Macaca fascicularis: one gene and its partner. The protein of the gene in region 2 purifies or fractionates together with the protein of the main gene of each other region. This does not show direct contact. Links are inferred from orthologs where the notes say so. Each region holds a gene or a part of one and is shown on either strand. Other genes may lie near its edges.

Region 1 (3,375 bases), on a different chromosome or scaffold from region 2:
CAAGGCAGTTGCTGAGACTGGCCTTGAGGATCCTGAAGCAGCAGGCTGTACACATACACCCAGAGGTGCTCGAGTGGTTCAATGGTAGAATTCTCATCTGCCAAATACACCACACAGCTAGGTGAGGAGATCCTCCTATAACCCCATCACCACCACCAAGGTGGTATACATGTTACCCTGGCTGCCAGCAACTTCCAGAATTCCTTAAGTGAAAGGGAGAGGGGAGTAAGAGGTGGGAAACAGAGGAAGAAACACCCCCATTCTCCTTTCCTATGGAGGCCACCAGTCATCCAGAAAGCTCATCTCAACTCCTTTGAAGGAATCTGGGCCAAGATGGTGCTTGGGCTCCATCACCACTGGGAGCTGGGGAGCAGTTTGGATCCCACAAGAAGGCTAGCTGGAGCAAGCCGCCTCGGTCCAGGCTGCATATCTCATAAAGCTGTTCCCAAGGCAAGAACCATCTGTACCTCCTTTGTTGTCCTTTGTCCTTTATTTTCCCTGTCAAAGACACCCCCAACACACACACAACACACACCCATGGCAAAGAACAGCTGAGCCAGGAGAAGCTGAAGAAAACAGCTTTTTATTTGTTACTATAAGAACCAATTACAGAATCCGAGGTTAAAAAAACGGACAAAAGATCTTTATTTCTGAGAACTGGCGTACAAAAGGCGGAGGGGGAGGGGAGGGAAGGAAAGAGCGAGCATGGCCTGGGGTTGATGCCAGCTTAGGGGCCTCAAACTCCAATTAGGATAGTCCGGACACCGGACAGAAAGAGAAACCCCCAATTAGGAAAAAAAAAAAAAAGACATGGCAGTGCACGCCCCCCTCCCCCAACCAGGTACCACCACCTGTTATCTGTTTACTCTTCCCCTCCCCATCCCCTTTCACAAAGGGAGGCAAAATTTTTAAAAAATTAAAAAACCCTCCCCCCAAAACTGTCCAAGACATCTGTGGGTCCTACCCCCCAAAACAGGCTAGGTTCCCACATGGGCCAAGTTCCTGCAGTCTGTCCTCCATCAGCAAGCATGGAGGCATGAGACAAGTCTCGAGGTTGTAACACCAGAGGGCGCCCAACCCCTCCAGGGACGCACACTCACTTGCTCTCTTCCTTACTCCTCACTCCCTTTGACACGAAAGGGAAGGGAGGTTTGGGTGCCCTGGGCATCCACCCTCTACCTCTCAGCCCACCTCCCTCCCCCACAGGTGCTCAATCCTCCAGGACAATAGGCTCATTAGTGCTGGCAGGATGTGAGGGTGCAGGTAGAGGGACAGGGGGCCGCACTGCCATCAGCGTTGGCTTCACCTTCAGGGGCAAGTTGGGTCGGCGAGCAGCTCGCCGCATTTCCAGATGGGTCAGAGCCTTCCGTAGGGCCCTGGCCAGAAAGAGCAAGTGAGAAACAGAAAAGGCTTAGAGAACACTAAGCCCTCCAGGTGAAGCCCCACATTCCACACTGCAATTCTGCCTTCTGGCCCATTCTTTTCTGGCATCCCCACCCTGCATCCACAACCTTCCTAGAGCTCTTGCTCTGAAACTCCTACTCCCCACACTCACAGCCTGGACTGTCCCTCTCAGCCCCTCCCATGGTAGACTCCCTACCTGGTATCCTTTGTGGCCACAAACACCACAGGATTGGGGGCATCAGCAGGGTTTAGTTTCTGACGCTTGGCGGCTGGCTGTGAGCTTGAACGAATCCCTGAAGCCAGAGGCCTTCCATTGGCAGAGAAAGGAACCCCTGCCCCTGCCATCTGGAAAAGAGGCAGGATGGCACAATGAGGGAAGGGACCCTCTCAGACTCCTATGAGAAACAAAAGCCCACCCAACTCAGCTTGGCCCACCCCTTTCTGTCAACTCACAGTCTCATAGGCCCGTTTCACCATAATGCCCCCCAGTCCCCGGTTCTGGGACAGCTGGTTTCTGTTGATCGGTGTCTTGGTACCCCGAGGTGTTTTTGGTTTCAGGGGTGCCTGGGCCACTGGAAAAAAAGTAATAGAAAACTTTCACACCTTTTCTTCCCTACACAGTTCCCCTTTGTTACTTCCATCTCTTCCCCTGGACCAGCAGTTTACCTGGGCATCCCCAAAAGTAGCAATGGGGTAAGGTTCTGGCAAGCTATCACTAGTATTTCAAATATCAGTATGACCTTATCAAATCAGTACAGTAACACTGAATAGTTTACAAAAAAAATTATTAAACAACAAAAGTACAGTTTGTTAGACTAAATCTCTGAGGACACTATGGGGAAGAAGAAAACAAGGGGAGAGAAGATGTTGGACAGGGAACGGACTGGGAGCCTGATGCCACCCTCACTGGTCCTCATCCCATACCCAGATCTTTGACGATAGTTGCCAGGGGCAGCCGCACCAGAGGGTGAATCTTCAATGGAGTCTTGGCGGCCTTAGGAAGTCGAATGGAGCCTGCAGAACAAAGATGAAAGCTTCTGAAGGGCTTCACCATTCAGGTCTCCTCTGAGGCCAGAAGCCAAGTCTAATCTTTAAAAAATTACCTGTGGCCTACTATGCCTCCTGTTATTAAACATCCAGAGAAACAATCGTCTCTGGGCAGAGCAACCCTAAACCCACCACCAGCCCCATCACTCCCTGTCCTTACACTCTGCTTTGATGGCATTGGCATTGATAGGAGCATACGGCCGTCGGGCAGCCCTCCTCGGCTGTAATAGGTCCCTGCACATGCGTCTGGCAAGACGGGTCAGTTTCGTGGTCTGAAGCAGGAAAGTTTGCCTGTTCTTAGCCAGTAGCTTGGCCCGGTTGGCGCTGGTTGTATAAGGGGAGAGACTTTGAGCTTCAGGTCTGGACAAATGACCCCTCGAGTGTGGCTCCTAGAAGAAGAGCATAGGAAAGAGAGAGAGCAGAAATCAGCATTGAGGCTCCCTTCTTTCTTCCATTCCCTGCAGAAGACAATTTATTCCTGCCTAATCTCTTTACTGACCTCTTGGCCTATATGTCTCCCCAACCAGCATCAAGCACCCCCTGCCCATCAAACCATCACCATATAAAGAGTTGGATATTCTGGCCCTCACCTAAGCTCACATCAATATGCTTACTGCTCTCCCCTGCTTTTACCCCCACTGATCCTTACCGTGGTACCCCGAGTGGCTCCCTCAAGCTGAGTTGGGGTCTTCAGTCCCCCATATTTCTTCCAGTAGATCCAACAGGAAGCACAGAGGCGGCACTGCATGTTAGGTGGGCCCCAGGCATACCACTGAGCAGACTGTGTGGCTGCAGAGCATGGAGAGGAGGGGGACAGGGAAGAAGCATGCTACCTGAGCCCCACAGATTCTTGAGCCACAGCAGGCCTTCCACCCATCCCCACCATCCCAGTGCCCCCATAACTCACTGTGGCAACTCTCACAA
Region 2 (3,750 bases):
TGGGGGCTGTACATCTGAGAACACATCTTGGCTCTCCAAACCTGTGGGAGCCATTTTAATGCAAGCTTTTAGAGGACAAACGCCTTGCCCTTAAGTTCCCTTCCAGCCCAACAAACACAGTATTATGCAAACGTTGAAGGCACCAAACCAGGAGTCTTATGATTAGACACTGCTTCTAGGGAGGCCACAAGAACCTCAATATGTAATTTCCATTTACAGCAAGGAGATAAGAACAAAGAAAATAGCTGAGTGTCTAAACTTACTTGTTTGGGGCAGTGGCACTGTTCAGTTTTAAGTATGTAACATCATTAACTGCCTGCAGTTTTACTCTAAGAAGCTAAGCTGGCCTGCCTTGCACAGACTTTTTTCAACTTAGAATGTGGTACGAAACGTTTCTCCTGATTAAATGAGCCTTTTTCCAATTTGGTGTCAGAAAGTGGGCTACTGGACACTCATTTGAAAGAAAAAAGATTACTGACTCCATAAAGTTGACATAACACAGCAATTGAATATATTTCCTGCATTTACAGTCATGTCAGATTGGTCTCCAAGCTGAAAATTTACGTACTGAACTTCTAGGGAAATTCTAAAGGTAATGCTAAACAAGACTCTACTTTTCCCACTTAACTTCTAGCTGCAGCCTTAAGAAGTCAAGGGAAATGTAAAAAGTGACAAATCTTATGTGGGGTCAGCATGCATACAGATGTGTGGATGAGACCTGAAAAAAGGCCAAAATGTGTTGGTCAGTGAGTCCTGAATCCAACCCCAGTCTGGTGGCAGATGAGATTTTGCACTATACATAAGTCCTAAAGCATGAGCACACTGCCACCACCACCCCCCAGCACACACATACCACCACCACCACCACCACCAGCTTCTGCCCCACCAATGTTTTTAGGGCTCTGCAACTCTAAGAACAAGCAGTTTCATTACATTTCACAAGCACATCACCTACTCACAGTTTGAATATCCAAACAAACCCCATTAAAGGTCTAGAGTCAAGTCACAATGAACTAAACACTTCTCCCCTGACTCAGGGTAAACAGGAAGTATAATCTTCAATCCTAGCTGCAGGTTATCAGGAAAAACAGTGGATTCAAACAGTCACCTAAAATCAAGACACTCTTTAAAAAGCCCTTATTTTGTTCCTGCTAATGAAGCCCCCAACTCCTGCAGCCAAGACCCCCTATTACAAACAGACCCCAAATGTTCGCAAAACTCTTCAAACATGGTCACAGAGGAAATGGATTGCTTTACTTACCCAACAAATGTTCAAGCAACCGTCTCATTTTTCCACAGTTAGGAAGAGAGAACAGGCTGGCAGATTTGGGACTTGATCAAAAAGGAAATTTTTTTAAACAGTTACATGGTATTATTAAAAACACACAACAACAACAACACCACAACCCAACAACTGAATATGGAATGCTGTCATGAGCCACAGACATGATTTTATTTCCTCTACACTCCATCACACAGGAGAAGAGAGGAGGATACAATGTATAAAAGGGACAGGAAAATGAAAACAAGGATAAAAGGTAACATTAGTTCCTTGAAAATCATGCAAGAGTAGAAAACTAAGGGATTCAGAATCCTTGCAGATTTTTTCTTTTTTTTTTTTTTTTTTTTTTTTTGCAGGATGTTGTCCAAGATCTCTCTCCCCACACCCCCCAGTCCCCATCCCTACTCCAAAAACTTCCTCCAAAACCTAGAAAACACTTTCAGAAACATTTGCTGGCTGTAGGCTGGCTTGCAGAACACTCTGTAGCAACCTAAGTCAGGAAAACAGGCTGAACAATGTAGTTTCAAGTGCAGAAGCTCTGTAGAATAAGAGAAGACCGTGTACAGACACCACCACCCACCTAGGCCCCAGGAGCTAGACTCTCCTTAGCACTGCTCTGCTGAGGGTTCAATTCTTTTGCAAACACGCTCCTCTCTTGTCAAAACTTATCCAGCCTTCCCAGAACCTCTTTGGAGAGGCAAACTTGCCTGCTCTGCTGTCTGCCATGAGCTCTCCTTGGAGAGGAGCCTGTTTGCTTACCTTCCATTTTCTTCCCCCAGCAGGGCATGTGGCAAAAGAGAAGACAATAGTGCAGGGGGGGGGGGGAACTGCTCAGAGAGAGAGAGAGGGGAAGAGAGAGGGAAGAGGGAAAGAAAAAAGAAGAAGAAGAAGAAGAAAAAAAAAAAAGCTTCTTTTTTGGCATACCAGGATCTAGCTTCAAACTCTTCCAGAAACACCATGCCCTGGTGGAAGGAAAGGTGTGCCAGGCCCTTGCCAGTTTGCAAAATCAAGCTATGGCTAATGGCTACTGAGCCATGTGACCCAAGAAAGCAAAAAAATTCTCTCTAAACAGTTCCAAGTTAACATAAGTGCTCTGGGGGTGAGTGTGGCACGGCCAGCCACAGAGAAATCACACTGCTCGCCCACAATTCGGATGTCTCAGAGGGAGGGGGAAAAAAGATGGTTAAAAAGTCGAGCTTACCTCTGTGGATGCATTGTTAACACTGTGTAATGTCAATACTTATAAAACATGGAGGACAGGCTCCTAGTTCTCACAGAAAAAGGGTTTGGCACTTCGGCTGATGATCTGGCCGCCTAATAAAAGCTCATCCCCGATTGGCTGCCCTGGCAAATCGGAGTGTAAAGCCGCCCCGGATTGGCTGAAACACTTCCTGAGCGATTATCTTTGTGAGGCTCGGGTGAGCAAGAGCCATCCTGTGCATAGAAAAAGACAGGCTAAGCTAGGCCTTTTGCAGCAAGAAAAACTTGGGAAAGGGGCCCCCACACGCACTTCTCCTGCACCCTGGCTAGATTTCCCGGCACGGGCCGGCCAGGGCAGCCAGCCTGACCTGCTCCAGGGAAGCCTGAGGACTGGAGGCCCCTGGGAAGGGAGTTTCTTGGAGTGGGCTGGAACGGCTCACCCTCACCTGCCCCCAGAGAAACGGCCCTTGTCCAGGGAGGAAGGCCAGCCGTTTTCTAGAACAGTCCAGCAGGGTGGCTCTCCAAGGGGAAGGGGAAGCTGGGGAGTGGGGAGTCCCACGGAAACAGCCAAGGGGGCCAGAAAAAGGGGCTTGAGGCAGGCCTCTGAGGAGCTGGGGAAGCAGGCAGACCGGGGGAGCCACGAAAAATCAGCAGAGAGCAGCCCTGGCTTCTCAGAGGAGCGAGGAGTAGCTGCTGAGGGGAGGAGGGGAGCAGAGTGGTCAAGTTTGCATAGTCATTGTCCCCATGCCTCCTTGCAAGGCAGGCCAGAGAGCCGTGGGCCTCTCGCCCTGCTTAGCCAGTCCTGCGTGCAAAATCAACGTGGGTTCCTGCCTCCCTGCCACGATGCCAAGGGGGACCCCTCTCCGTCCTTACCCTAAGAAAAACCCAAAGCCCTCCTCGCAGGCCACATGCCTGGATCTACAAACTTCCCTTGCCTCCCGGCCCCTCCCCCACGGCCGAGGCCTGCTAAACCTGTCAGTTAAACACAAATCTGACTTCCGTATTAGCCTGCGATGCCTTCGGCTTCCTGCCTGTTAACCCTCTCTCGGACTCCGGGCCTGGCTGGGAAAAACTAGGCCTTGAGATCGCAGCAAAGGCCTGTGGAAAAATACCAGCTGCAGCTCTCCCGGCAGATGCAGAGAGAGAGAGAGAGAGAGAGAGCCGCTGTCTCTCAGCCTTTGCTTCCCAGGGAGGCGTGTACCTTGTGAATCCAGGGCACAGGCAGTGCCTCTCGGGCTGAGAAGCCATTTCAATCCAGAGGGAGACAG

What was found.
Region 1: the proteins of ZMYND8 (region 2) and MTA2 purify together in Homo sapiens (affinity purification with mass spectrometry; 3 studies listed by BioGRID and IntAct, with this or other methods). This does not show direct contact. The link is inferred for Macaca fascicularis from reciprocal best matches to the Homo sapiens genes ZMYND8 and MTA2.

What each region holds. Positions count from the first base shown.
Region 1 is NC_088388.1:11,464,483-11,467,857, reverse strand, and holds the end of MTA2 (metastasis-associated protein MTA2), read right to left. Parts: coding exon 3,359-3,375; intron 3,241-3,358; coding exon 3,101-3,240; intron 2,841-3,100; coding exon 2,612-2,840; intron 2,419-2,611; coding exon 2,329-2,418; intron 1,977-2,328; coding exon 1,858-1,976; intron 1,750-1,857; coding exon 1,601-1,749; intron 1,377-1,600; coding exon 1,211-1,376; 3' UTR 568-1,210; downstream 1-567. UniProt on the Homo sapiens protein: May function as a transcriptional coregulator. Acts as a component of the histone deacetylase NuRD complex which participates in the remodeling of chromatin.
Region 2 is NC_088384.1:103,410,041-103,413,790, forward strand, and holds the start of ZMYND8 (MYND-type zinc finger-containing chromatin reader ZMYND8), read right to left. Parts: upstream 2,558-3,750; 5' UTR 2,498-2,557; coding exon 2,484-2,497; intron 1,333-2,483; exon of another isoform or gene 1,262-1,332; intron 1-1,261. UniProt on the Homo sapiens protein: Chromatin reader that recognizes dual histone modifications such as histone H3.1 dimethylated at 'Lys-36' and histone H4 acetylated at 'Lys-16' (H3.1K36me2-H4K16ac) and histone H3 methylated at 'Lys-4' and histone H4 acetylated at 'Lys-14' (H3K4me1-H3K14ac).